Notamacropus eugenii: one gene and its partners. The protein of the gene in region 1 interacts with the protein of each later gene in a pairwise test. Links are inferred from orthologs where the notes say so. Each region holds a gene or a part of one and is shown in the gene's direction. Other genes may lie near its edges.

Region 1 (7,785 bases):
TCAAGCATCTGATGTTCTAATCCCTAGCCAGGGCAAGAAGTAAAGAACCAGCAGACAGAGAGGCCTTTCACCAAGGTGATCAGCAGAGGAATTATTGGCTGCTTTAAACAACAGAGTTTGCTCCCCACCCTACCTCAGGGGTCACCTCAGGTGGCTTATGATAGACATCTGGGGACCCCTAAACCTTTCTTCCTGCCAGTGCAGGGCAAGCAATCCACACTATCCCTCGGAGTCTGCAAAACCTATCTCTGAATGATCCCAGGGTGGAGGTGGGATCATTATTTCAAGGGTCAAGAGAGAGTTGTATAGGGAGAAATACACACACACACATCTGGGACCCTCTGCCTCACAATTGTCCAGGTCAGAGCTTAGCTTTCACAAACTTATTCCCTATCAAGAGAAGAATCACAGACTCTGAGACCAGTTTTGGCCAAGGAATGGGGCTGGAGTTCATTGTTACTGGATGTTTATTTACCCCAGTCTATGGCATCTTCCTACTACAAACCACTAGGGGAGAGAAGAGTGAGTGAAACAAGCTTGTGCCTCAGGCAGGTTCCTTCCCTTCCCTCCAGAAACCAGCCCAGAAATCTTTGCTGGTTTTCCCTTTATTCTAAAATGTTTATTTTTCTCTGTGGTTCTGGCTATCTTACCTTCCACCCACAAACCCCAAATGTGCTTAGAGGCCCTCTGGCATCCATTAGCCACAGCTGGGAAATTCTAGACTGGACACAGGGCAAAGACAGACTGTGGAGTTGAGCGCGATGAGTACAGACTTAACAAATGATATTTATATACACATCAATTTGAAGAGAAAAATGTATTTCTTTAGGTTTCAAACACTGTGTAACAAATATAATGCAAAAATAAAGACCTGTTGAAAAGTTCTTAGTAGTCTCCTTTCATTTAGGCCCTTGCAATGCCTTTGGATTGAGGTTGACATCTTGTAGCTAGAAGAAACTGACCCCAGGGAGTAAGGTGGCTGGTGTGCCTGGAGAGGGCAATACCAAGCTTGAGGTGTGCCATGCACTGGCTTCAGCAGAACAATTAGCCTCCCTTCTGTGAACATTACCAGGAGACCTTTGGAGACCACAGATCCCACTTGGATTCAGACCTAAGGAACAGCTTTGGGATAGTCTCTCTAAAAACATTAAACATGCTCTCATTTAGAAGCTAGTTGACAACAGAGATGTAAATTTTTTTCATTTACATTCCTAGACCCCCCTGAAATCCATTTGGACTCCAAGTTAATTAAGCACCTTCTGATAAATAAGGAATAACATTGAATTCAGTGTCACACCTATTTGTCTTGTCTCTGGCCTTGATTTATATGATGATAAGCAAGTCACTTAAATCAGATTTTTGAACTAGATATGACTTTAGAAATAATCTACTCTAACCTCATAATTTTCTAGATGAGGAAACCAAATCTTGGAGTGATTCCAAGGGTTCCCCAAGATCAGTAGGAAGCGAAATCTGAGCTCAAACATAGATCTTCTTACTCTGCATCCACTTCATTACATGCCATGCCAACATGAACTCTGTTTACCTATTTTTATCTATCTAAAAAGGTGGTACTAGTATTCAAACAGTAGTGAGTTCCTCCTCATTGAAGGTATTCAGGCAGAGGCTGAATGACCACTTGTCAGGTACATTTGAATAGGTTTTCCCATTGGGACTAAATGACCACTAAGTTCTCTTTCAGTTCTGATTTTTTAATATTCCTATTTCTTGCCTCCTAGAGACATTTGTGAAGATTACATAAGGTACTTCATTGTCAAGCACTATAAGATCGTTAGTTGCCCCATTCCCCTGGTGTGAAGAGGTTGGCATGGAGAGGATTTGATACTGATGCCCCTAATTGACCATGAGGGAAAGTTAGGTGAATGAACAGGCATGGGATGGAGTACACACAGTCACTGAGAAAGCTGGAGACTCAAATTTTTTGGTCCCTGCTCCTAGCATGGCCCTGGCAATAGACAAGAGGAAGGGAAGACTTAAGACAGGATACAGCTGCTCTTAGTAGTGAGGACCCCTAGACCAGGAACAGCTGTAGCTTAGGCCATTCCTCTTAGGAAAGAAGCTGCTTCCATACCCTTACATACCTGGATTTAGCCTATGGAGGTTGGGCTCAATGTTTCTAATCCCAATGAAGTAGCCACTCTGCCTTTGCACCAGAATAATCAGTCTGTGACAATTCCCCATTTGGTGGAGATGGCCCAGGATAGCCAGCACAGGTCTCCTGGTACAAAGGGTCACATCTGATAGGAAGAGGGACATGCAAGATAAAAAAGACAGTAGCCTACGGGCTGTGGTCTGCACAAAGCCATCCTATGGGGGAAGAGACCTGCATTAATTAGAGTCTCAGAGCCTTGTGGGATTTTAATGCAACTCCATTGTATAGAGAAGGAAACTGAGGCTCTAAATCAGTCATGGCCTAATTCTACAACAGTGAGTGAATATGTGAAAAAGCTGAAACAATATGAAGCCAGGTCTCCTTGCTTCCAGCCTGGGTTGCCACAATTCAATATTTAATTAGCTTTTTTCATGGTATAAATGAAGCGAAGCTCATAACATTGTATTGGCCTTTTGTGTTGATTATGATGAGAGGTTATGTGCAGGGTTATAACTAGCAATTGTGGCATTTGGGACAGTCTGTTAAGAATTACTCTCAAACCCCCTTCACGGTAAGAAAATAGTACAAGGATTACCTCAAGCATTCAGTTGAGTGGGAAAGGGAATCAGTCACTGTTGCAACTTTGATGCTGCTAGAGGAAAACATTTTTTACACTCTTGAACTTAGTGCCCTGTGGCAAAGCTCTGTTTGCCCCACTCTTTATCTCCAGGATTGACGGCTTCTAATTTCTGATCTCACCTCTGGAAGGAATGAAAATAGGTTCAACTTATCCCATTCTAGAAGCTGATGGGATTCCAGTGCTCTGTCTGGCAAGAGCCCTGGGCTTGCAGCTAAGAATTCTGACTAGTTTTATCTTTTACTGCGTGACAGTAACTCAGTTGTCCCCACTGGGTGTCTTTCTGTCTTCTGTCAAAAGAACTGCACCAGATAGTCTGGCAGGAAGTCATCCTCCTTGACGCTGGCTTTTCTCTGTCTTCTCATGGTCTTGCTCTCTCCCAGTTGTCCTACCAACCGATCTAATCACTCCTAAAATATCCTTTGCTAATGTCTTGTCCTCATCGGGCATGAACTAAAAATCTGTCCTGAGTCCTTGTCTCTTCCCCTCTATACTTTTTTAAGTTATCCCATCCGCCCTGTTCAGTCAGTTATTATATCTGTGCAGGTAATTCTGAGACTCACATCTCTCTTCTACAGCAGTTTCACATCAGGAATTTCCTACTAGGCGTTTCAAACTAGATATCCCAAAGGCCAGCCAAACTCAGTAGGTACCAAATGGAATTCATGAGCTTGCCCCTTAATCCCTCCCCTCCTCCAGACCTCTGTGATTCTCAGCATCACCAGGCTTTCAGTTGCCAGTCTTGATGCTGGGTCATCTCTGGTCATCCTGATGAATATCTGATCCGGGGAGGAGAAGGTGAGGCTGCTGACCTGCCCAGTCCTCCCTCCCTGCCAGCCATGCCATTCGTTTCCCTGATGTCAGGGTCCCCTTGAGAACAAAGGACAAAGCCTCTGCCATCTCATGGCGTCCCCTCCAGTTCTCCTGCCCCTTGTCAACCTTGTCTTTTCTGCCCACCTAGCACCTCCATCACCGCGCAGCGGCCCGCACTTCACCACGTCGCCAGCCTGCTTCCTTTCCTCTCCATCCTCTTACCGCGGCCCAGACGGCTTGTCCACAGGGCAGTCTGCCCAGGGCACCCCTCTCTGCTCAGGGCGCGCCAGGGGCTCCCAGTTACGGCCTCTAGGATTAAATACAGCCCCTTTTGGTGTGGACCACCAGCCCATTCCCATCCCCACGCTCTTCCTACACTTGCCCCGCCCTATTACCCTCCCCTCTGGAGGTCTACTTCCCACCGCCAAGCCTTTGCCCTTCCAGTCCCCTACGCCCAGGATTTCCTCTCCCTTAGAATCCGAGGCTTTTCCTGATCCTCTGCGGTTTCCCCTTGGCCTCCCCTCGTCTTCCTGGGGCCCGTGTGAAGCCTGTGGGGCTGTGTGCGCGTGCGCCATCTCCCCACTAGGGGGCAGTCCGGAAGGTGAGTTCGAATCCGGCCCCAGGCGACGCTGGGGACACGTGGGCGGGATCCACCCAAGTATCGGCCCAGTGCCCGGCACGCCGTGGGCGCCTAAGTGCTGTACCTCCTTACAAACGGACGGGGCCAAGAATGGAGGAAGACTGTCTGCGGACTTCAATTTTCTCTTTTTTAAGGAATAAAATTTGTCTTTTTTTTTTGCATCATCTCCAGCCTATAGATAGTGAGAGAAGTCCGCCGGGTAGGGCTTAAGCCCTCCTTAGGGCACGTTCTCTCGCGTCGGAACACAAGGCCCTCGAGGCAAGGGAGGCTTTCGTGGTGGCCTTGCACCCCGGCGCACAGGCCACGACACACGTCGGCGTTGGCGCGCTCCGTCCCCCTCCCACTGGGAGGGGAACATCGCTCAGCCCCGCTGCGCCCTGGGATTGGTTCTCAATCCTCACAGCGGAGCATGACGGGATCTGTAGTGTCCGTCTCTTCCCCCCTTCCACCTCCTTCGTGCCCAGCTTCCCCTCGGCTGAGACCGTCGCAGCCTCACCCTTCCCGACAGGCCTTGCAAGGCCTCTGGCTTCTGATTGGCTAAGGCTGGGGGAGGGGGCGGGCGTCTCCACCGGCAGCCGTTGTCCGGCGTTTCCGGTGTGAGGCCTGAGCCGGTAACCCTACGCCGTGAGCCTTGTTTGGGGGAGGGAATCGGCCGTAGGGGAAGAAGAGGCATCGGCTGAGGCGGGGGTGGGAAAGGAGAGCGAGGACCGGACGGAATCGCATCCTGCCTGACTCACAGGCCCGGGAGGAGCGCGCGGTACGGAGCGCGCGGACGCAGGGAGAGGAGAGGGAGAAGTCGGGCCTTGGCGGGGGAGTGGGGGGGGGAGAAGGAGAGCCATGAATGAGGGCGCTAGCGCGCTTGCGCGGGAACATCCCGAGGGGGCGCGAGGCAGAGCGGGGCGGAGCCCACGTGGGATGTGGGGCTGGGGTCTCCCGGAGTGGCGCCCCTCCCCCGGCCCTGGGAGGCGGGGACTGAGCGTGCCGGGGCTACTGAGAGGGGAAGCCCTGAGACGGGAGGGCCTCCGATTTGGGAGCTAGGCCCGGCCTGCGGGGTGGGAGCAGACCTCCCCGTCCGGCCCCTGCGGACGCTTGTCTGCGCACCCCCAGGTGCCCCCGAGGCAAGCCTGACTGGGGTCGTGGAGGAGCCCCCTCCCCAGGGAGTCCGGCCGAGAACCTTCAAGGGCGGGGGGTTTGTCTCTGAAAGGTTGGTTGAGCCCCGGCATCCTTCGGCACCATGAAGAATCGGGACAAGGAGGGGGGCGCCTCGAAGCTGCCGGCCAGCCCTTCCAAAGCAAAAGCCCCGGCCCCGACCTCGAGGCCCGAGGGCCAGCCGGCCCCCCAGGACTGCGCCCCCAAAGCAGACGGAAATGCGGGAGGGCCGGCCAGCCAGGCCTCGGCGGAGAAGAATGACGGTACGGTGCCAGGCCGGCCCGCAAAGCCGTGGGGGGAGGGGGGTGTGCCCGCAGCCGGCAGAGCGCCCCGAGGTGTGTGGAGCTTGGAGCTCTGCTGGCGAGGGAGCCTGGAAATGAGTCTTCCTCCTTTGGGAGCGGGAGGCTCCCACCAGCCCGAGGACCTTCTTCGGGAAGTGTACCTGTTGCTTTGTTTGGGAGCACAAGGGCAGATTTTCAGGAATCCTTGGGCACGCACTCGTGAAGCAGGACAGTGTGGGGGAGAGGGAGAAGGCTGTGGGCATCAGGGCCCTCAGGAGCCTCCGGGGGCTGGCAGGTCCTAGGTACGTAATGGTGGCTAAGAAGAAACTGCCCTCAGCTTCACTGGTTCCTCTCTCAAGACAGGAAAATAATCGTCATGACACACACGTCACAGCCCGGTTATAAGGAACTTGTTTTATGGCGTGGAGCCATTTGTTTTACTTTGTGCTCTGTTTTTTGTTGCAGCGGGGCAGACCAAGAATTCTCCGTCAGGGCCTGTTTGTGATGTCTCCGAGGAGCTGAGTCGGCAGCTGGAAGATATATTGAATACCTACTGTGTGGATAGCAGTCAGGAGGGACCAGGGGATGAGGGGGGCCAGAATGAGCACACAGAGCCAGATGAGGTAGAGAAGAGCAGGAATTACTCTGCCCGGAATGGAGAACCAGAGCCGGGGACCCCTGAAGTCAATGGAGTGAAGGAAATCACCAAGGGAGAGCCAGGTGTTGAAGAGATCCGGGCAAATGATGAGAGTGGGGACCGAGACCAGAAGCGGGTCCAGGAAAAGAAGAAGGCCAAAGGCCTGGGTAAGAAAGGTGGAAACCTTGGTACATCGAGTTTCAAGGTTTTATCACATTATCCCTGCTATTTCCCTTGTCTGTGAGACTGTTAGATCTCCTCCACTCCACCTTAGTGGTGTATAATCCTTGAGGGCAAAGATTTTGTCCTTTCCCACCTTTGTATGGCAGACACTGAACATAACAACAAATACCTCTTTGATAGAATTTGGTTTCAAGAGGTGAGAGAGAATTTGGAGACCCTGGGCAAGTCACTTATCCCTAGTTGCTGCCAAAAAGAGGGAGAGAAATTGGAGTAAATGTCATTTGTGGCCTGCCTGCTCTAGAGGCTCTAAGTGGCAATTGTTTCATGTATGCGGATCCTAGGGCTCAGGCTCCAGATGTCTCAGGCTTCAACTGTTGGGGATTTTTCTTTGTCCATCTCTTCCTTTCCTGCCACTTATTTTCTCTTTAAGAGGAAAAATGTACAGATCCTAGGAAAGCAACCCACTGAATGTGCCAGGGAAGATTCCTCAGCCTGCCCCTTTATCTACGTGGCAAATCTTGGGAGTGAACTGAGGGTTGTGCGGACAGAGGAGTGGGGATCTGGGGCTGAGAGCTAACCCTGTTGCGTGGAGGCGTATGTGAGGAAGAGTCACTCTGTGCCCCTGTGTCTTCCAGGGAAGGAGATCACTTTGCTGATGCAGACACTGAACACCCTTAGCACCCCAGAGGAGAAATTGGCTGCGCTATGCAAGAAATATGCTGAGTTGGTCAGTTTTGGGCCCTTCTGCAGGGTTGTGGAGTCTAGGGGACTCCAAGGTTGGCATGGGCCTGACCCTGAGGAGGAAATGTGGGTGACAGCACATCCCAGCCTGGACACTACACCAGGTGACGGGTCAGATTTGGTTCCTTGACGAAGACTGTGGAGGCAGAGATGAGGAGAGCCTCCCTAGCTGTGTTCCCCGGGGTCTCTGAGAGAAGGGAGAGGGTATTTGCAATATTCCCAGAAATATTGGATTGAGTCTCCTTTCAGGAGTTGTTCCCCCACTTTGGGGCCTGTGATGAATCTCCAGTGTGGATGGGGTCACATGAGAAATGACTAGGGGCTGGCTAGAGGGGCACTTTGCTTTAGATACTTTACCAGGGCCATCCCCTGTTTGGCAGCTGCCCTCAGAGATGGCGGGTGGGGAGCAGTGGTGCTCCTCAGGAGCTGGGGAGGCAGGCTCAAAGGTGGTTCATTAACACTGTCAAGGTCACACAGCCAAGAAGGGCCTGGCTACCAGAGCCATGACACTGTTCCTTCTCCAAATATAACCTGGTACTTTGAACATGTGAAGTGTCCATCCTCAGCCTCTCTAGCTACTTTGTTATGGGG
Region 2 (7,063 bases), on another chromosome or scaffold:
AACTCAAAAGGCAACTCAGCACAAGAACATCACTCGATAGTCAATCTTGAAATCAGTTTGATTATATACTTTGCATGTAAAGGAGGAGAAACTTTATATAGTCAGCAAAAAAAAAAAAGATCTGGAGCTGATGGTAGCTCAGATCATGAGCTTTTTACTGCAAAATTCGGACTTAAATTGAAAGAAGTAGGGAAAATCTTCAGACCACATATGTGTGACCTAAATAACATCACTTATGACTAAGAAGTGAAGGTGATGAATAGATTTAAAGGATCTGGTAGAGTGCCTGAAGAACTACAGACAGAGGTTTGCAATATTATATAGGAAGCAGCAACAAAAGATATTCCAAAGAAAAAGAAGACCAACAAAGGAAAACGACTGATTGAGACTTTACAAATAGCTTGGGAAAGAAGGAAAGTGAAAGGGAAAGGAGAAAGGCAAAGATATACTCAACTTAATGAAAGTAGAATTGCAGAGAATAACAAAAAGAAATAAAGCTTTTCTTAAATGAGCAATGCAAAGAAACAGAAGAAGACAATAGAATGGGAAAGATGAGATTTTTTCAAGAAAATTAGAAGTATCAAGGAAAGGTTTCATGCAAAAACAGGCAGTATAAAACACAAAAATGGTAGGGACTTAACAGAAGCAGAAGAGTTTAAAAAGAGGTGGCAAGAATATACAGAACTATACAAGAAAGATTTTAACATCATTAATAACCACAATAGTGTGGTTACTGATCTAGAGCCATACATACTACAGAAGTAAGTCAAAGTAGGCCTTAAGGAAGCACTGAAAACAATAAGGCTCTAGTGGAGATGACTGAATTCCAGCTGGGCTATTTAAAATCCTAAAAGATGTGCTCCATTCAATATGCCAGCAAAATGGAAAACTCAACAGTGGCCACTGGATTGAAAAAAAAAATCAGTTTATATCCCAATCATAAAGAAGGGCAATGCCATGGAATGTTCAAATTACGAAACAATTACATTCATTTCACATATCAGCAAGGTTATACTTAAGATTCTTCAGGCTAGGCTTCAGCAATATGTGAACTGAGAATTATGAGAAAAACAGGTTCGTTTTCAAAGAGGCAGGGGATCTAGAAACCAAATTGACAACATTCACTGTATTATGGAGAAAACAAGGGAATTCCAGAAAAAAACATCTTTTCCTCCTTTACTGACTATACTAAAGCCTTTAAGAATGTGGCTCACCACAAAATGTGTCAGGTCCTCAAAGAGATGGGAATACCACATCATCTTACTTGTCTCCTGAGGAACCTGCATGCAGGGCAAGAAGCAACAGTTTGACCAAAACACGGAACAACCTATTGTTTTAAGATTGGGAAAGGGTACAAAAATGCTGTACATTGTCACCTTATTTATTTAACTTATAAGCAAAGTACATATCATGTGAAATGCCAGGCTAGATGAATCAAAAGCCAGAATTAAGGTTACCAAGAGAAAGAGCAACAATCTCAGATATGTATTTAATTCTACTCTTAAGGCAGAAAGTGAAGAATGAAGAAGCCTATTGATGAGGGAGTGAAAGAGGAGAGTGTAAAAGCTGGCTTGAAATTTAACATAAAAAAACCTGTTAAGATCTTGGCAACTATTCCTATCATTCGACAAACCAGGGGAGAAGAAACAAAAGCAGTGTCAGATTTTATGCTCTTGGGCTCAAAGATCACAGCAGACAGCAACTGAAGTCATGAAATTGAAAGATGCCTGCTCATTGAAAGGAAAGCCATGGCAAATCTGGACAGCTTACTAAGAAGTGGAGATGTCACCTTGCCAACAAACGTCCATTAATCAAAGCTATGGTTTTTCCAGTAGCAGTATATGACTATAAGGAGGGCTAAGCACCATACAATCGGCAAGATTTTGAGAATTCTCTGGACAGCAAGTAGATCACTTGAAGTATCCACAAAGTTCTGACTTGGGGGAACCTGGACTCTGAAGAGAGGGATCTGAAGACTACTAAAAAGTAGTCTTTTGCTTGTTATGTCCCTATGTTGAAAACCTCAGAAAAATCAATTAAAGCTTTAGCTTGGCTCATGTGTACAATCTCCCCAAAGGGGATCAGACAGTTACTAAATGTACAATATAGCTTAGTTAGAGGACAGCCATTTATTTCCTCTCCACAAAAGAAATCCTCAAAAAACAACTCATAAATGTACACTGTAAAGACTTAAAATGTTACAGTAACTCATTAAAATATGATACAATAAGTCATAACTCCTATTCTACTCTCTCAGGAGGTTGGAACTTAAAAAAATTAAAACATGAAACATTTTGTGGAGCTGCTAAACAATCATTTAATCTTCACCTTGTCTCTGCCCTCTTTGAACAATTTCTTAAAGGTACAGTTCTCTAGCAAAACAAGTCAGGGCTTGAGTTTTTCCTCCTGTTTGTTGGCGGTCACCTTCTCTGAGAAAGGAATAGTTACAGAAAACTCCACTTCTCATCAGCTTCAACTATGAGATGCAAGATCTCCTGACCTGTCAGACTCATCAGGATGCCTCCAAACCTGGAAATGTCCATTTCAGGATTACTGTTTGGTCACTTGTGTTAAGAGAATGAATAAAAAGCAAAAAAGGCAGCCAAGGCCTTGAGATTCCTACCCAGGCTCACTTAGACAAACACATGCTCAGACTTCAATGAAACAAGAGACTGATAAGTTGGGGAGAGGAATGTACCCCTTTCTCTTATGAGAAGAGAAATCCTCACAGAACATGCCATTCTTGTCAAACTGAAAAAAGCAGTCCTCCAGAGGGCAGTCACTCCTTTCAAGGTTTACGGAGGGAGTGGCTCTTTCTGGCTCAGTGGTCAAGTCTCTTTCGAAGCATCTGTCTCCCCTTGCTGCCACCATTGGGACCAAGGCATTTTTACATGATCCCTGAACCCAGATTTTCCCCATGCTAAACCCGAGCATAAGCAGTCCACTGAAAGTGGTCAGGGGAGCTCAGATCAGTTTTATGCATGGTCTAAAGGGGGAATGCTCTAGCTGGAGCACAAAGGTGAGGGAAATTTCACGAATATACAAGTATGTATGGATGCGGATTAGACCTGTATAAGGGAACTCCCCAGGTGAGAAAACTCCCTCTATCAATTCAGTTCAGTATTTTCTCTGTAATTTATAACCTCTTTTAAGAGAGTTGCCTAGTACACTGAGAGATTAAGTTACTTGCCCTGGGTCATATATAGCCACTTGAATGCAGGTCTTCTGTGGCTTGAAGGCTGGGCCAGGTTGTCTCATATTTATATGATTATAATATAAAATGAATAATAAGTATATTTTAAAACCACCACTTAGATACGTTTCAATTATATGGAAAAGTCACATCTAGTTCACGTGAAGGGCACAGGGGTGCATCACCCTTTCAACAGTAATGACATTTATATAATAGCACGTTGGCTTCACAAAATACATTATCTGATTAGCTCCTCACAGTCAACTAGGGAGGTGGGTAATTAGTCCTACTTCACAGACAAGGAAACTGAAGGTCAGGGTGGTTGAGTGACTGGTCCGGGCCACAGTGAACGCAAATCTTCGGCTCCATCCACAAGACCTCCCCGCCCCCCGCTCGACAGGTACAGGTAGCAAGAAGCCTCCTCTCGGGCTGAGGTTCTGCTTCCCACCTTGGCGCAGGCACTGGAGCTCCCACTAGCAGGGATGCCCCGCTTCCAGGTGGCACTTTTTGTCCTAAGGGCCCGGAGAATCTCCTGAGGGGAAACTTCTCTGGGGCCCCCGGCTCCCGGACCCCCGGGACGCCCCACAGCCGGCCGAGCTCCGCAGGGACTGAGGGGGAAGGGCTCGAGAGAACCGGAGTGGAGCTCCGCGCGCGAGGCCCCGCCCCCGCCCCGTGCCTGTTCTCGCGCGGGCGAGGCGCTGAGCCGCGCGCGCCGTCGTCACCCCCTCCCTGCTGCGCGCCTCCAGCCCCCCAGCTCCCTTTCCCCCTCCCCCCTCCCCTCCGGCTCGGGTGCGCGCTCGGGGCTGGGGAAAGCGGCGCGAGCCGGGCGGCTGCTCACGTTCAGGCGCGGGGGCGGCTCCGGGGCCTGGGCGGGCGCTGCTGCCGCCGCCGCCGCGGGCAGCGGACCGAAGAGAAGGAAGAGAAGGAGGAGGAGGCTCCGGTTGCCGCCGCCGCCGCCGCCGCCGCCGGAGATCCTCCCCCCACCCCCGGGAAGTGAGTACTGCTGGGGGGCGGCGGCGGCGGAGGGCAGCCTGCTGCGCCCCCGAAGGAAGGCAGCTGGGTAGCCTGGCAGCCTGCTGGGGTCCTTGCGGGCGCGAGCTCCTGTCCGGGAGCTAGCGGACCCCGGAGCCCGGCTGGAGCGGCCCCCGGCGGGCGGGCTCAGCGCCGCGCGGGAGAGGGGCTGCTGTTAGTGCCGGGGATCCCGGGTCCGCACCGGGGCTCGAGGGGGAGGGGTGCCCGGCGGTGCCCCGGGAGAGCGTGCGGGCCGGGACCGGGCCGGTGCCAAGTGCGGCGTGCCGTGCCAGCGAGGCAGGACCTCGGGTGCCCGGTGCAGCTGCCGAGGCGCTGACCCGAGCTGGCGACTATGGGGCTGGAGGGAGAGCGATCCGAAGGCACACTGCAGTATATGCTTAGCCTCGGGAAAGGGGAGGGTCCCCTCCTGTCCCACCCTCTCCATCTCCCCTGCCCACCCCGTGCCAGGTTTGCAGCTGCTCTTTGCCACTCGAGAACGCGGCGGCGCCGGGGACTCCATGGCGCATTCGGTCCGGGAGCGGGGATGAGCCCTTGCTGATGTTGCCTGGAGGAAGCAGCTTCGAAAGAAGACGATCTGCAGCGAGTGCTGAAGGGGAGAATGGGGCAGGTCCTGGCAGAGGGCAGGTGAAGGAGGCAGGCCCTGGCAGAGAAAGTGGTTATCGGTCATCGAGTCTTGAGAGAAAACAAGAGACTTGCAATTAGAGTGACCTAGAGTTCTGAGCCCCTAAAGGGAAAATAGCTGTGGGATTTGAGGTCAGGTGTATGCCTGATTGTTAGGTTCCTTACTCTGGCCTGGGAATCCGGCCCTCTGGTATGATCATTAACAAATAGTTATTGAATGCCTACTTTAGGTATAGGGCACACAGTGCTAGGTAGGCATTGTAAAGGCCTCTTGAAGGGCCAGTAGTCCATTTGGGGAGACAAGAAACATATGAATACAGTGGCAGTGAGTTTTATAATTCATTACTTAGTTTTAACTTGCTGAACTCCTTTGCTCCTTTATCTGGACATTTGGAGCTTAAATGGCCGGTTTGTGGGAGAAAAGCACAAGGGTCAGATGAATAGCTGAGTGCAGTTTTGGGCTATTTTGGAAGCCCTCAAATTCAATACTTAGAAGGTGGGTGAGAAACCAGAGCCAGGATTTCATTAGCTGCTCAATTGGCCAACCTTTATTTAAGGTGAGCAGTACAGAATCACCGCTTCAGATTAAGGTGGACGTATGGACTTTTCACATGGAAGGTCGTTCCAACCATGTCAACATAGGTCTAACTCCTCAGTGTGAACAGTAACAGTGGCTACTGCTTATGGGATACACTGTTTTCTTGTCTGCATCATGTAAGCTGTATCAAAGGAGTTTCTTTAGGGTCTTAGAATGATGTGGTCTTTCCTTTTAGCTTGTAATGTGCTAGTTTCATGTAGATACTTTTACTTAAAAACCTGTACCCTTTCAGTTTTATCATGACGTCTTTGAGAAGAAAGTTATATGTTTTTAGTGTTGGTGAACTGTGAAGATTAGGATTCTTCTATTTATTCTGTTTCTTAGTTGAGTTTAGGGGTCTCAAGTTCCAGGCTGTTGTTTGACTTGCTTGGGTTGCACTGCCTGTTGGGTTACTTTGTCTGCCAAATTAAAACTTGACCTTTTATGAGTTCTGAGAGAATTCTTAGTACCCATAGGTGAAACTGGCCTTTAGAGTATAGTATGTTCTAGATAATACTGATAGATTTCAAAAGATCGAAGTAGTTCTTTAGTTGTGAACATATATTTAAGTAAAGCACACATATGCCAAGCACTGCGCTAAGCACTGGGTATACAAAGAAAGGCAAAAACCACTAGATCTTGGGATACAAAGAAAGGCGTCAACAGTGATAGTAGTAAACACTACTGTTTGTGCTTTGGTGCTATTAAATGACATATTTTAAATAGTTTTCATGAAATTTACTTGGGGAAGAGATGCTGGCAGCATATTCTTGTTAACTGTTCTAAACATGTTTTATAAATTCTAGACATTTAAAATAAACTTCCTACACAGGGAGTGAAAATTTTCTATTATGTGTATGCTGCTATTCCTTAGAAACAAAGTTCCTACTGGTAAAGGAGATTTAGATGTCAACTTAGCCAGCTTTTAATATATGCCTACTATGGCTAGGTGTGTATGTGTGTGTGTGTGTGTGTGTGTGTGTGTGTGTGTGTGTGAATATAACTACAAAAATGAATTACTTCAAGGAATTACATTTACTAGGTGTGAGGTTATACCATACTTATAGATAAGCAAATATAATACAGATGTAAAATGTTGGGGTTGGGGGAAGTTAAACTAACCACTAGGGGAATTAGGAGGGATTACTTGAAGGAGGGAGCAGTTGAATTGAGTCTTGAAAGGAAGTGGGCAAATTTCAAGAGTGAAAGCTAAAGAGGGAGAACGAGACCTGATAATTGATTGAGGGTGGGGTGGGTGGGAAGGGATGAGAGTGAAGAGTTGAGGGTGACTTCTAGGTTAGGAACCTGGGTGAATGGAAGAATGGTGGTGCCCTTGACAGAATTAGGGAAGTCAGGAGGAAAGATAATCAGCTCTGTTTTGGATATGTTGAGATTGAGATGCCTGTGAGACATTCAGATAAAAATCTCCAGTAGGTAGATGGAGATGTAGGACTGTAACTTACGGGAGAGATGAGGGCTCTGCACATAGAATTGGGAATCATCTGCATAGAGATGACTACTAAATCAATGGGAGTTGATAAGATCATTGAAAATAATTTTTCTTAGGCGCTGTACCTTGTTAGTAGTTGCACCAGGTCACAGTCATAAAATGTGAAAGGACTTTAGAAATCATCTAGCTG
Region 3 (7,549 bases), about 88 Mb from region 1:
TTTCTGCAACCATTATAATAATCTCAGAAGCCCTTTCCTTTCTCTGGAACTAACTCCCTTTTGCTCTCTGTTCCCTTACCTTTTCAAAAATTACTCTTAAGGAAGGTTCTGATATTAGTAATTGATACCTTACATTGGGGTATTCATGCTTAAATAGTTAACTCTAATTGTAGAAGACTTTATCCCTCTGGTGCAGGGGGCAACAGGCAAACCTCATGAGAAGATAGGGCAAATACTTATGGGGTTGAGGTATATCCCAGGCAACAGTGGAATCACGGTACCCAAACAGCTAGGTGGCATAGAGAATAAAGCCAGTTTGGAGTTAGGAAGACCTGAGTTCAAATCTTGCTTTAGATACTTTCCAGCTGTGTAATCCCAAGCATGTCTCAACCTCTCAATCTCAGTTTTCTCATCTGTAAATAAAACAAGGGCTGACGGGGTAGATTTGATGACTTCTAAGGCTTCTTCCAGCTCCAAATTTATGATCCTAAGCAGTCTTCTACTTTGCTGTTGACAGTCTTGCCCCTATACTTACCTTAATTTGTAAAAAATGTGGCTTAAATCACAGGTACGAGTTAGTCAAAAAGCATTTATTGAGTGTTTACTATAAGCCAGACGTGCTAAGGCCTGGAAAAACAAAGAAAGGCAAAAATAGTCTCTTCCCCAAAGGAGGTTACATTCTAATGGTAGAAACAACATACAACTATGTATACACAAGGTACACAGACAGACACACAGATAGATGGTAGATGGAAGGTAATCTCAGAGGAAAGGTATTAACATTAAGGGGGACAGGAAAAGAACTGGTAGGATCTTTGGGCATATTGGAACTAGCTAGTACCAGCTCACAAGAGTAGATTGTTAAATTTTCAGCCTGAGCATTTGCACCCCAGACATTGGCAAACTACAAATCAGGGCTTGATTTGTTATTATGCTGGTTGTCTAGAGTCAGATTTTAAAGTTTCTTGAGAAATCAAACTCTTCCTATTCAGCCATATATTTCTATAAGTTCTTCCCACAGATCTTAAGTCAGACTTCTGGATCTTCATGATAATGAATTTATGTAAGTTCCTAATGCTAAAAGGGACTTGCTCAATATTGCTAGCATATGGACTAGTGCGAATTCATATCGGGTGAATGAATATAAGTGACTTTGGGCTATCCTATGATAATAAGTTAAATTTCTTTTCAAGATCCATTTTCCCTTCTCCAAATCAAGGATGAAATTTAGAAATGATTCAAGAACATGACCAAGTCTTTCAACATCATAGAAGATTTTAAGTGAAGATGGAATGAAGACTCTTCTTTATTCAGTCACAGTGGGAAGAACAAAGGAACACTTACTAGAACTCATTACCTAAGCCACTTATAGAGTACATCTAAGAAATTCATGCTGATGAGAAATGATCAAATTTGTCTTTTATAATTTTAATGGAACTGGATGGATATACAAAAAAGTATTAAATGAACAGTTGTAATAAAATAGCAAATCAGTGTCCATGTTATGAAAGTGAAAAATAAACAAAAGAGCTCAAAATTTACTAGAGGGAAGCAATAAAACTAAGGTGAATTTTCATTTTTCAAAGATATTATATTCATACATATGAATATACATAGCCACACACCTTCACTACTATTTCTGAGTAGGGAATACTCATAAATTTTGTCATAGGTCGTTGGTTACATTTTTGCCTGGCACTTTCTGTTGTAAAACTCAAGGCACGTTGAAGATGAGCCAGTGTGGCTATCCATGTGGGCAGTTAGGGAGCACCTACTGTTTTCCACCGTCCTGTCCCTTCTTTTACACTTTAACTTAAGATCTGGAGCTGGCCAAGGGGATCCCAAAAAGCCCCCTGGTATACAGGACGAGCCCCGCTGGAACGCAGGCAGGGCAGCGGCACCCTCGGAGTGTCCCGGGGCTTCCAGGCGCGCTTGGCCTTGGCATTCCTCCGCGGGTGGGGTCGGGCACGCGTTGCCACAGCAACCTGGGGCGCCTTGGGAAGCCGCGGGAGCCGTGGCGGGCAGAGCCAGTCGGAGCCAGGCCCGTAACCGCCGCGGCAGCCACTGCTGCTATTGCTCCGGCCCGGCCGGAAGGAAAGCTGGGGAAGAGACGGGCCGAGCCTGGCCGAAGAAAGGACAGTCTGGGTCGGGGCCGGAGCCGGAGCCGGGGCTGGGGTCGAGGCCAGGGCCACGGCACGCTACTCAGCGGCTCGCCCGGAGAGGCCGGGATCGTGGCGGGCTACATCGACTTTACCCTACTCCTCCTCCCCTCTTTCGGACGGTCAAGAGCCGGGAGCAGGCAAGGTACTTAAAGGCGCTCCGAGGTCCAGGCCCGCTCCCGGTGATCCTCCCGAGTGTCCCCGCTTCTCCCAACACCCGGGAGCTGTCCCGGCCCGGACAGGGGGATAGGGAGGCTCCCCGGGCCGGACCCCGGGGAAGCGAGTGGCGAAGGATGAGCCAAGTTGGGAACTTTGTGCGGATTAGGGGTTTGAGAGGTGGTGGTAGTGGGGCTTTGGAAACGTTTGATTTGAGATTATCCCAGCCCAACTAACCCTCCTTCTCTCACCTCCTTAGTACTTCTCCATCTTCCTCCTCCTCCTCCTCCTCCTCCTCCTCCTCCTCCTCCTCCTCCTCCTCCTCCTCCTCCTCCTCCTCCTCCTCCTCCTCCTTCCACCTCCTTGAAGTCACCTCCAGTTATCCTGATCTGTATCTGGCCACTGGACCCAGTTGGCTCCGGAGGAGAAAGTGAGGCTGGTGACTTTAAACAACCCTGACTCACTAAAATCCAATTCACTTGCATGTCATGTCATCGCCATCCTGATGTCATGGTCATCCTTCTACCTCCTTAATACTTCTCCATCTTCCTCCTCCTTCCTTCTTTTCTCCCGTTTTCCTCTTCATCCTTCTCCTCCATCCTTTTCTCTGTCTTTCTCCTTCAAACCCCTCCTCCTCCAAACCCTTCCTCCTCCATCTTCTTCATCCCTTCTTTTCTATCCTCCTTGTCTTCTTCCTCACCTAATTTTTTCTCCCTCTCCTACTCCTCCTCCTCCTTTTCCTCCCCTCCCTCCTCCTCTTCTTTATAATACTCTAATTTATAGAATTAGAGTATTTTTGTATTTTTCTCTTTTCTCCATAAGTAGCCTTTAGTGGTATATTCCATTTTATTCTCACAGATTTAAATATACATATATGTCTATGTATATAGATATACATCTATACATAGACACACATATATTTGATGGTTGATGGAACAAACAACTCTGAAATAAATAGGCAGCAAGTATTTTTAAAGTCTGGGACTTACTCTTTGAAAGCTGACTTCTGGAATCAACTCTAGAATGGACTTCAAGAGCTGTAGTTTTCAGTGGCTAGAGTACTTGAATTTGTATCATATCCTTGAGCCCCCTACATATTGGTGTTCCAGAAAAGGAACAGAAAAAAAAGGCAAAGAAGTTTACATGAAGCTGAACATAATCAACCAACAAGTTTTTATTAACCATATAACAATAATAGCACTTATATAGCACTTTAAAGTTTGAAAAGTGCTATACATATGTTATCTTGTGTGGTCTAATATTTCAGGTACTGGGTATATACAAAATCAAGTACAACTTAGAACTTGCTCCCATGTGGCTTATATTTTATGGGGGGCAAGCAATATATTAAATACAAAATAGTTAAATACTTGATAGTTGGGGAGGGCCAGCACTAGCAGTTAGTTGAGGAGGGTAGGCATAGAAGGTGAGGAAATCAGGAAAGACATTTTAGAGAAGACGGTGCTTGATTCTGTGAGGTGTAGGGGTGTGATAGGAAAATGAGAGAGAGAGAGAGAGAGAGAGAGAGAGAGAGAGAGAGAGAGAGAGAGAGAGAGAGAGAGAGGGAGGGAGGGAGGGAGGGAGGGAGAGAGGGAGGGAGGGAGAGAGGGCAACAGAGTCCAGTTTGTATGGACCATAAAGTGTGGTAAAGGCAATACATGTATATCAAAACAGGTTGGAGGCAAGTTGTAGAGGACGTTAAAAGAGTTTGTATTTTAAGGCAATATAGAGCTGCTGCATTTTACTGAGAAGGGAATTGACTTGGTCAAATCTTCACTTAAAGAAAATAACTGTGACAATTCTGTAGAGAATAAATTAGAGGGGGAAAGACTTGAGGCAGAGACACCAATTACAGCAGTATTGCAATAGTGTAGGCAAGTGGTGATGAGGCCTGAACCGCTGAGGTTGTGGCTATGTGAATAGAGAGGGAGTCATGAAAAGATGTTGTAGAGTTAGAAATGACACATTTGGCCATCAGCATGACGGGGGGATGCAGGGAAGGGGTCAGGGAGAATGAGACGAGGATAAAAATGAAGTTACTAATCTGGAAGACTGGAAGTCTCAAAAAAATAGGGAAATTTGATAAAGAGTTTGGACAGAAAATTAATGATTTCTGTTTTATTCATATTGACTTTGAGATGTCTTTGTGACATCTAGCTTGAAATGTCCAATAGGCAGTTAGTGATGTAGGGTTAGATGTGGACTAGACAGGAGAGAGACTGTCAATGTATATATAGCTCTAGATGGATATATAGCTCTAGAAGTCATCAGCATAGAGTGATAATTAAACCCATGGGAACTTATGTGGACATTAAGACAATAAGGAAAATGAGGGGACTCAAGCCTTAGCTTTGGAGAACACTCACAGTTAGGGGTGTGTTTGAGATAATGAGCAAGCAATTAGAAAGGAAAGAGGAGAAAAAAGAAAACAATGTCATGAAAATAGAGTATCTAGGAAGAAAGGTGCAGCACAAAGGTCAAGAAGGACGAGGACTAAGAAAACAGAAAAATTGAAAGACTTGGTAACTTTGGAGCGAACAAATTCAGTTAACTTGATGAGACTGAAGTGAGGCAATGAAGGTAGACAGCTTTTTCTAGAAGTTTGACTGAAAAAGGGGGGATGATATAGAATGATAGCTTGAGGGGGCAGTAGAGTCTAGTGAGAATCTGAGGGAGACTTGGGCATGTTTGAAGGCAGGAAGCAATCAAGTAGCTCTAGGGAGAGATTAGAGACAGTGAGGGAAGGAAAGAGTGAATGAGAGAGAGCAAGAAGGTGAGTGTGATAGAGGTTACAGTCTGCTAGAGAAGATGGAAGGGGGGGATGAAGGTCACACATAGGTAAATCAAGTCACTTAGCAGTTCTGTTTATAGTACATTGAAGAGAAAGAGTGTCACATTTTCTAAGGAAAATTTAAAATGGACAATTTTGCCAAGAGCTAGCATTCCATAATTTTCTAGATTAATAAATACTTTAGATATTCTAGATTATTATTTTTTCCCTTTCTGAACAGGTTAAAAGATCAAGAAACCTAGGTAAAATGGAGTCGCGTCTTGAGATAGAGAACCCAGAGCAGAATCTGATGGGGTAAGTGCTGAGGTTTCCTTTCGTACTTGAGAAAATTCTGCTTAATAGTAATGATAAGAGCTTACATTTAGATAACATTTTAAAGTCTACAAAGCCTTTTCTTTACAATACCTCACTAAGAGAAGTAGTACAAGTTACCCCATTTTATGGATGAGGAAACTGAGGCCCAGAGAGATGAACTAGTTTGCTCATAGACAGTAAGTGGCAGAGCTGGGACTTAAACCAAGCTCTTCTGGCTTTAAGTCCAATGCTTACTTGTTTTGGACTTTATTAAAAGAGAAGCTTGATTGTAGTGTAAAAGAACAGTTGTGTTAAAGTAGGGAGACTTCACTATACTTTTAGCTCCTCCACTAACTAGCAGGATGACTTTGGGGAAGTTATTTGACTTTTTCTGAGCTTCAGTTTTCTCATCTGTAATACAGGGATAATACCAGCACTGCCTAGCTTACGAGGCTGAGATGAAAGTATTTACAAAACACAAAGTGTTATATAAACGGGAACTACTTTTAAAGTAAGGAGACTACAAGGCTTTTTGCTGGCCAAAATATAGCACTAAAACTTGATGTTGGTTTTGTGTATATGCATATGTAAATACATGCACATGTGCTGCTGACATATAATGAATATAATTCTAGAGAATACACATGTAATATTAACGATATATGTATATAAAATTAAGTGAAGAAAACAATATAATTATTCTTCCCTTTCTGATCTCAGTTCCTACATTTTTCTCTCTTTCTCTTTCTCCCTTCTCTCTCTATACACACATAAAAATATATACATATGTACATTATATACATACACACATATATAGTATGTGTGTATACACACATGCATAATGCATACACACATACATATACATGTGCACATATATGTATATATGTGTATATATACATATATAATATACATATGAAGAGAGAAAGAGAGATGGGGAGGGAAGGTAGAAAAATTAAAGCAAGAAGGGTGGAGAACAATTGTATTGCTTTCATCACTTTTTTTTTTTTTTTTTAGCTCAAATCAATTTGCAAAGCAAGCGTAAATAATTCTTCGGAATTTCTTTTTTTAAATTTATTTATTTGTTTTCAATTTTCAACGATCACTTCCATAAGTTTTAAATTTTCTTCCCCTCCCTCCATTCTCTCTCTCCAAGATGGCATACAATCTTATGCTCTACACATACATTCTTATTAAACACATTTTCACATTAGTCATGTTGCATAGAAGAATTAAAATGAATGGGAGAAAGCATGAGTAAAACTAAACAAAACCAAACATAGCAAAAGAGAAAATGGTCTGCTTTATTCTGTGTTCTGATGGATATGGATGGCATTTTGCATCATGAGTCTTTTGGAAATGTTTTAGGTCCTTGATTTTCTGTGGAGGACTAAGTCTATCAAAAACAGTCCTCGCACACTGTGACTGTTACTGTGTAAAATGTTCTCCTGGTTCTGCTCATTTCACTCAGCATCAGTTCATATAAGACTATCCAGGTATTTCTGAAGTCTGCCTGTCTATCATTTCTTATAGCACAATAGTGTTCCATTACATTCATATACCACAACTTGCTCAGACATTCCCCAATTGATGGGCATCCCCTCCATTTCCAGTTCTTGGCCACCACAAAAAGAGCTGCTATGAATATTTTTGTACATGTGGGTCCTTTTCCCATTTTTATGATCTCTTTGGGATACAACCCTAGAAGTCAGATTGCTGGGTCAAAGGGTTGGCACATTTTTGTAGCCTTATGGGCATAGTTCCAAATTGCTCCCCAGAGTGGTTGATTCAGCTCATAGTTCCATCAACAATGAATTAGTGTTCCAACTCTCCCACATCTTCTCCAACATTTATCATCTTCCTGTTTCGTCATGTCAGTCAATCTGACAGGTGTGATGTGGTAGCTCAGAGTTGTTTTGATTTGCATTTCTGTAATCAAGTGATTTAGAGCATTTTTTCATATGACTAGAGATAGCTTTAATTTCTTCCTCTGAAAAATGCCTGTTCATATCCATTGACCATTTGTCAGTTGGGAAATGACTTGTATTCTTGTAAATTTGACTCAGTTCTCCATGTATTTTAGAAATGAGGCCTTTATTACAGACACTAGCTGTAAAAATTCTTTCCCAGTTTTCTGCTTCCCTCCTAATCT
Region 4 (7,790 bases), on another chromosome or scaffold:
TAGGAGGGGAACAGATCGGGAAGGGCTTAGAATGCCAAGCAGAATATTTTGTATTTGATCCTGGAGGTGAAAGGGATGTCCAAGTCTAATGAGTGGGAGAGGGGGACATGGTTAGACTTGCATTTTAGGAAATTGCCTTTGGTGGCCTAATGGGGAATGGGCTACAGTGGGGAGAGACACGAGGCAGCAGGATCACCAGCAGCTGTTGCCTCAGTCCAATTGCCAGGTGGTGGCAATGTCAGAGGAGAGAAAGGAATGCATTTGAGATCTGTTGCAAAGGTGAAATTCACAGGCCTTGGCACCACATTGGATATGGTAGGTGAGAGTAAGGGGTCCAGAATGACTCCCAGGTTCAGAACCTGGGGGACTGGGAGGATGGGAAGGAAGGAGGGGGAAAAGACAAGGAATTTCATTTTGGACATTAAGCTGTCTACTGGACATCCAGAACGGGATGTCTGAAAGACATCTGGAGATGTAAATTTGGAGCTCACTAGAAAGGTTGGGGCAGGAAAGGTGGATTTGAGAATCATCAGTTTAGAGATGATAATTCGCTGGATCCTCCTCCAGATCATGCCCTCCAACCAGGGGTGTTCCTCAGGCTTCGGTTCTGGGCCTTCTCTCTCTCTCTACCCTTTCACTTGGTGATCTCATCAGTAAGAGAACCATTTCGGTTTTGGATACACCACTCGTATTCTTATCCCTTTCCCAAAGGGAGGCAAGTGCTTAGTAAAAGTGATTTGTTGATAAGGCTTGATGGTTTTAAGTAGCTTCTCCCCCCAGGGGGCTCGAAAGTTCTCCTGTACCTCAGATGCTGGAAAGAGTTAGGAGGGGGAGATGCCTCATCTTATTTCCTTTCAAAAGTGTAAGTTCCTTAAGGGCAGGCACTAAATTGTCTGTCACCCTTGGGTACCCCAGGGCCCAGCTAAAGCCCTCCCACCAGGATTAATGCTCATTGAACCTTCCAGATCTCCCAGCTATTAGCCTAAATCTTTCCTTAAATTTTGTTCACACTTCTAATAGAATAAGTATTTGTCCTGGATTCTAACCCTAACCCTAACCCTAAAATGCACTCTTTGGCCATTTGTAGTCTAGTTTCTGACCACATCACCTGACTAAAACTGCTCTCTCCCTCTTCTTTCTCTTCTCCCCTCCCTTCCCTTCCCTTCTCTCTCTCCTTCCTCCTTTCATCTTTTCCTCTCTTCTCTCTCCTTTTCCTTATCTCTCTCAAGCATCTCAACTGCTAAATTCGATGCTCCCCTCCCACCCCCATCCGCTCCCTTCATCCTTTTTCAGTCATTCACCCCTACCTGAGTCCTGTTCTTCCTTGCCTTTCCTATCTGTCAGACTACAAAATTATCAATTGATAAACATTTATCAAGTGCCTGCTATGGGCCAGGCACTAAGCTAAGCCCTGGAGATACAAAAAAAAAAAAAAAAAAGGTAAAAGACAATCCCTGCCCTCAAGGAACTCACCATCTAACCTGAGACAACTCAACAATATGCTCTTCCTTCTCCTTTGAAAAGCCATCATCTGGCTCTATCCCCTTAACCCTGGGTATCCTATAAGGCTCTGTCCTGGGATTCCTATTTGCTGGACATTGTCCTTAAAAGCCCACCAGCTCCCAAAGCAAAAGGACCTATGGTTTCATCTCTGCAGGAAGGGAACTTCCAGGTGAAGAAACTTAGCCCACCCATTTAGGGTAGTACCTTCTCCACAACTAATAGAGTTGCCAAGAGGCACTCAGAAGTTGTGACTAGCCTAGAGTCCCACAGTCGATATCTATCTGAGGTATAATTTGGAGTTGTCTTCCTGACTTGAAGACTGGCTCTCTAGTCACTTATAGCAATCAGCCTCTTCACTGCTTCTGTGAGTTCTATTGAAATCTCTATTCAGAAGAATCCCAAAATTATATACACAGCCCTTACCTGTCATCTTAACTCCAGTCTGCCTAATAGACATTTACACCTGATGTCCTATCAGCATCTCATTCGTAATATGCCCAAAATAGAACTATTTCCTAGAAAGTCATCCCTCCTCCACTCTCCATCCTCCCAATCACCCAGGGATGCCACCTTGGAGTCCTCCTTGACTCATTCCACTTCTTTATCCAATCAGTTGTAAAGTCTGGTCAGTTCTCTTTCCCCGACATCTCACCCTATCATTCCCACCATCCCTCATTGAGATTACAACCACCTCATGGGTCACCTCTCTTCCAAACTCCGCCCTCTCCATTCTCCAAAAGGTGGCTAAGTTAATATTCTCTGTCACGTATTTGATCATACCACCAACACCGCCCCTCCCCCCCCCATCCAAAATCATCAGTGGCTTCCCATCGTCTCTAAGATCAAATCTAAACTCTTCACCCTGGCATTCACCAACGTGGCCCTGATGCTTTTCGGACATCATCTTACTCTTGTTCACACGCTGATGGGCAGGTCAAACTGAGCCTAGCGCTGTTGACTGAACTCAACATTTGCTCTCCAGTGTTCATGCCTGTGCACGCCCGGGAGGCTGTGTGCTCCCCCTCCGTCCTCACCTTGACCTCTTTGTAGGGTCAACTCTGGTGCCTGAGGTTACAGGAGACCTTTGCTGATCCCCCTCCCCTCCCCTTCAGGCTGTCCAGAAAACCAAGTGGTTTTTAGTTTTTAATTATTTGCTACAAGTTGTCCTCCTAACCCCAAGTAAAATGCAAACTCCTTAAGGAGGATTTTTTTTTTTGTATTTATATTCTCAAGTGCCTTGAACTTGGCTACTTAGGAAGCATTTTGTAGTTGTATATCTTCTTAGATTGTGCACTTCCTGAGGGCAGGGAGCTTCCATTTTCCTCCTTTTGTATCCCCATCCAGTTTAGGATGCCAGGCACCTCGGAGGTGCTTAAAGAACGATTGATTGAATTGTATTAGTCTGCCCCCAAGCAATACCTAGAGAGCTCTGTAGTGGGGAGAGAACCAGTTTGGAAATTCAGAGACCCGGCTTTGCTACTCACTAAACTCATTCATTAACAGACATTCATGAAGCGCCTGCTGTATGCAGGCACCAAGGGTGCGAGACCTTTCCGCTGCAAAGACAAGTAGGATGCAGCGCTCTGCCCTCCAGGATCCTGCACCTAATGGGGAACGACGGAGGTGGAGCTTGGGATCACAGTATCGTGGAGTAGCAGACCCAGAAGCCACCTACTCCAAGTTTTTCGTTTTAAAGAGGAAGACAGTGAAGCCCAGGGGGTGGTGACTTGTTGCAGGTCACAGGAGTGCTCAGCATGAGACAGGACTGCAATCAGGGCTCTTTCCACTGTCTCTCCCGTCTCAGAAGGAAGGGTGAGACGAGTACCAGGGAATATCCAGCCGTGGGACGGACACTGTAGATCCCTCCTCCTTTCTGGGCCTCAGTTTTCCTGTCTCTAAAATGACGGGCTCGGGCTAGGTGCTTTCTAGGGTTCCTCTCCGGGTGGAATTGGCTCAGCTTTGCTTTGTTTTCTCAGCTGAGTCCCACCGTAAAGGAATGAAGACAGGACAGAGCGCTCACCCTACTCCTTACTTCTCCTTAGTGGGGAGCCCAGGGTTTGCCCCAAGTCCCGCGGGCTAATGTATCATGCAAATCTGACCGCGCGTCTCCTGGGGAAACATCTACCCTAATTTGCATAATGATCCCATTTAGTGCAGGTAGTTAAGCACGTGACCTACTCCCGGGGGTCCGCAGTAGGAACCCTCCCAATTCTAGGATTTGTAGGTGTTTCATCCTTCATCCCCTGGGGGAGCGGCAGAACCGGGCCGGGGCGTCTCGGGCCCTCCAGTCCCCGGGGGTCCGGATGCCGAGTGGGCATCGCCCCCCCCACGATCTCTCGGGGACCGGAAGCGGCCCCGGGCGCCGGAGGACGAAGGCAGAGGTGGGGGGCGCTCCCGGAGGCTCTGCAGGCCCATGGCGCCCTTCTCTTTCCTCTGGTCCTCCTGGGCTCCCTGGGCCCGGTCCTGTCCCCCCGTCTCCATCTTTGCCTCTTTTCCTTCCATTTTCTCCTTCGCTATTTGTCCTCCTTTCCGCCTCCTCTTTTTCTATCTCTTTCCTCCATCTTTCTTTTCCTTATTCCCTCAGGTTCTTTCGCGCATCTCTTCCTCTCCCGGTCTCCGCGGGGCTCCTCGCTCCGCCGGCTTGTTGGCGCACGCGCACATCGGCAGACGTCGCCCCACACTCTTCTCCGCCGGACCACGCCGCGGTCGTTCCGCGCAGGCGCATACTTCGGGCGTCCCAGAGTCTCCCTCTACCTTTCCCTCTCCTTTCCCAAAGTAAGCGTGAGTCGTTTCGCGCACGCGCACGTCCCCCTAGCATCCCGGTGGGGCGGCGGGGTAGAGGACGATGGGCGTGAATTGCCTTTCCACTCCAAGAACTACACCTGGGTAGTTCCGCGCACGCGTACGCCTCCGGGAGCTCGGGCTCCTCCTTCGGCTCTCCCCGGGAGCTCAGGGGAAGGGCCCGTAGGCGCGCGCACGCAAGCTCACGTACGCACGCACGCAGCCGCAGACGGCCGCGGGCCGACGCAGAGGCGCTGACGCCAGGACGTCGTGACGCCAGGACGTCGCCGCCGCCGCGGCGGATGACGCGCGGATGACGCGGATGACGCGCGTCCCGGCCCGGCCCGGCCCGCTCCCGCCGCTCCTCCTCCACAGCCGCCGCCGCCGCTGCCTCCTACTCGTCGCCGCTCCTGGGTCCGGCCGCGGCGGGCAGGCGGGCAGGGGGACAGGCGGGCGGGCGGGCCGGCCTGCCTCGGGGGTCGGTGGTCGGGGGTCGGGGCAGCGGGCCCGGGCTCCGGCCTGGCCGCGAGCCTCCTCCTCCGCCCCGGCCGCGAGCCTCCCTCCTCCTCCCCGCGCGGCCTCGGCTCCTCTCGGGGGCTCCGTCTGGGCGCCGGCGCCGGCTCGGGCCCTGAGCCAAGGTGAGTGCCGGGCGGCGGCGGGGAGGGAGCTCCCCGTCGTGGCCGGGATGCAAGCTCGGACCGGGGAGTGGGGGCCGGGCGTCCCCCGCGGAGGTGGGGAAACTGAGGCACCGAGGGGTCGGACGGTTCACCTTAGGGCGCCGAGCCGGGGTGGATCGGGTCCAGCGATCCCTTCTCCTCGGGGCGTCGCTGCCGGGCCGGAGACCTTGTACAGTCAGCACTTATTAAGTGCCTGCTGTGTTCCTGGAGACCTCGCCGAAGGCTCTGATTTTACCTCTGACCCCCGGCCGGGGCTTGACGGGGGTTGGGGGGTCCCCGGGAGGTTCCTCCTCCGCCGCCCCCGAAGGAAGGACTTGGCACCACCGAGCTGGGAGGGGGTGTTTTGTCTTTGACTTTCCTGCTGTTTCCTGGTCCCGCCGGGGCAGCCGCAAGTTCACTTCTCTGTCCGGGGCCTGGAGCGGAGGAGGCGCTTCGTAACTGTGTATTGAGTATTGATACAAATCCTGCGTGTACCCCGAAAGCTCTCCCCGGGCAGAAAGGCGGCTGGTCCTGTCTGTTGGTGCGATACTGTATCAGGCGGTGATACTGTAGCATGTGTGAGACGGAGAGGGGGACTTATTCCTGTGAACTCCTGGACCAAAGCTGTCTTCAGGGGCCGGAGGCAGGGAACTTGCAAAATGTATGTTTTCTTTGCTTTTCTCTGCATTATCTTCTTTAATGCATTTCAAAACCGTCCAAGAAGGGCTGCACGGTGTTCATGGGGTCTTGGGCACGACCAAGAAGCCCTGGGCTAGAGGAGCCGTGATTTCCCTGCTTTCCTCAAATCCTGTTTAAAAGTCGTTTTTTCTCATCCCTTAATATTTGAGAGGTATTCTCAAATTTTGCCATTCGTCTTTATTCTGTCCCCTTTTCTCTGTGACCATGTTGATCCACTGTTTCTACACACTAAGTGTTTGTTGTAGCCCATCCCCATAAGGCTGAGTGGTTACTGCGGTCCAAAGCTCTCCCAGCTGTTGAATAATTTAGCTTCTTTTTGTTCTAGTCACCAAGTCCAGTGCAAGAACTTGGACCTCTACCTGTCCTCTCCAGTAGTAGCCCATACGTATTCCTGGATTGACCTTGATGGGTTTAGCACTTGTCCATTCTATCGATTAATTATTCTTTTGGCATCTTGAAAGATGATGGGGTACCAGGTATATTTTGTGGGTTGTTGCTTTCTTTGACCAGGAACTAGAAACTATGAAAGAGCATTTTTTAAGAAAGTAGCAACTAAGAAAAAATGCTGCTTTTTAAGAGGTCACCAAGTTTCCTTTTTAAAAATTTTTTTATATATTTTTAATGAAAGGTGATGATCAAGTTTTAGCACATACCAATCTTTTCTACGTTCATTCAGTTAGAGTTCTTGGCTTTTAGATGTCTGGTGGATGTTCTGATTTTTCCAGTTCACATCATGTTTGTGTAGCACTTAGAGACAGCATTACTCTTAAGAAGGCCAGAAAGAAAATATGCTTTTCCATTTTAACTTGTGATGATGTATTGAGTTTGCACATTGTTCTAAATTGCTTCTGGACTCTAGAGTTGCATTTAATGACTATGGTCTGAATTTTTATTTCAAGATGATGTGCGAGGTGATGCCAACCATCAGTGAGGCAGAAATTCCCCCAGGAGGAGGTGGAAGCCATGGTTCTGGTTCCCCTTTACAGCCAGATGCTGATTCACATTTTGAACAATTAATGGTGTCCATGTTGGAAGAAAGAGATCGTCTTCTGGACACTCTTCGAGAGACTCAAGAAACGCTTGCCTTGACTCAGGGGAAGTTGCATGAGGTTGGCCATGAAAGAGATTCCTTGCAGAGACAGCTCAATACTGCACTCCCACAGGTATGAATGTTTTTAACCTTGATCTTGCTAAATGTTTTGCATGGTGTGACTTAGTCAGAAAATTTCAAATAAAATCTGCAGTACTATCTATGAAATGGTCCATCAGGGACCACGTGTGGTGGTAATTTCTTGAGGCTGTTCTCTGCCCTTCACTGGAAGTAAAACCAAACAAGACTCTAAATGTACATCTGACGGTTCTCAGATATGCCCCGTCCCTGACTTTTTCCTTCCTAATTTGTGACTATTCATCTGTCCTGTTGGGGTGAGGTTACTGCAGTGCCTGCCTGCCTCAGGCTCTGCCTGAACTTCCCTCCCACCAGCACCCTCTGCACATGTGAATTTGGGGAGTAGCTGCATGGGGGTCAGACTTGGTTTTTGTGTTTTGAGTTGTTATTCAGTCACCAGTGCACCAAAGTCCATCCTTCATTGTTTGACTTTGGAAACATGATGACCTGAAGAAAAATACTCGGAAAGTGACTGGGAAATGTTCTAGTCAGCCCCTTTACATCTCTGCTTCTTGACTTAATGGGGAACCTTTCCAGAATGACTAATGAAGATAAAGGCACTTACGAGTTTGCACCGTTGGTAAATATTTTCCTATAACTGCATGTGGACAGAGGGATCTGTGGCTTAAGGCAGTTCGGTTATTAGAGTAGTTCAGATGGTAGACTGTGATCACGAGCGTAAGCTTAGAATAGGAAGAACCAAAAACTTTATGGCTGTTTTCAGAAGTGTTGTTCCTGTGATAATGGTAATTATAGAATGGTTTAAAAAATACCTAATTTATGTAAACTAAGAAGGGGGGGAGAATAAATAGTTCAGTGGATAGAGTCAGGAAGACCTGAGTTCAAATCCAGCCTCAGATATTCATTAACTCTGTGACCCTGGCCAGTTGTCAAAGCCTGTCCATTTCACCTTTACATCTCTGGAATATGCCCCCTTCTCTCCTGACAATCTTCCCCTCCAGGCCCTCATTGCCTGGATTCTT

The links.
Region 2: the proteins of TXLNA (region 1) and DTNB interact in binary tests that used the Homo sapiens proteins (3 or more experiments, as listed by UniProt). The two-hybrid records come from large-scale screens. The link is inferred for Notamacropus eugenii from reciprocal best matches to the Homo sapiens genes TXLNA and DTNB.
Region 3: the proteins of TXLNA (region 1) and DEUP1 interact in binary tests that used the Homo sapiens proteins (3 or more experiments, as listed by UniProt). The two-hybrid records come from large-scale screens. The link is inferred for Notamacropus eugenii from reciprocal best matches to the Homo sapiens genes TXLNA and DEUP1.
Region 4: the proteins of TXLNA (region 1) and PPFIA1 interact in binary tests that used the Homo sapiens proteins (3 or more experiments, as listed by UniProt). The link is inferred for Notamacropus eugenii from reciprocal best matches to the Homo sapiens genes TXLNA and PPFIA1.

The regions. Positions count from the first base shown.
Region 1 is NC_092876.1:77,660,304-77,668,088, reverse strand, and holds the start of TXLNA (alpha-taxilin), read left to right. Parts: upstream 1-4,780; 5' UTR 4,781-4,960; intron 4,961-5,407; 5' UTR 5,408-5,437; coding exon 5,438-5,615; intron 5,616-6,098; coding exon 6,099-6,437; intron 6,438-7,088; coding exon 7,089-7,180; intron 7,181-7,785. UniProt on the Homo sapiens protein: May be involved in intracellular vesicle traffic and potentially in calcium-dependent exocytosis in neuroendocrine cells.
Region 2 is NC_092872.1:526,514,832-526,521,894, reverse strand, and holds the start of DTNB (dystrobrevin beta), read left to right. Parts: upstream 1-4,055; 5' UTR 4,056-4,186; intron 4,187-7,063.
Region 3 is NC_092876.1:165,501,984-165,509,532, reverse strand, and holds the start of DEUP1 (deuterosome assembly protein 1), read left to right. Parts: upstream 1-4,533; 5' UTR 4,534-4,889; coding exon of another isoform or gene 4,890-4,895; 5' UTR 4,896-5,070; coding exon 5,071-5,088; intron 5,089-5,326; coding exon 5,327-5,400; intron 5,401-7,549. UniProt on the Homo sapiens protein: Key structural component of the deuterosome, a structure that promotes de novo centriole amplification in multiciliated cells.
Region 4 is NC_092873.1:22,487,611-22,495,400, forward strand, and holds the start of PPFIA1 (liprin-alpha-1), read left to right. Parts: upstream 1-4,788; 5' UTR 4,789-4,922; intron 4,923-6,538; coding exon 6,539-6,802; intron 6,803-7,790. UniProt on the Homo sapiens protein: May regulate the disassembly of focal adhesions. May localize receptor-like tyrosine phosphatases type 2A at specific sites on the plasma membrane, possibly regulating their interaction with the extracellular environment and their association with substrates.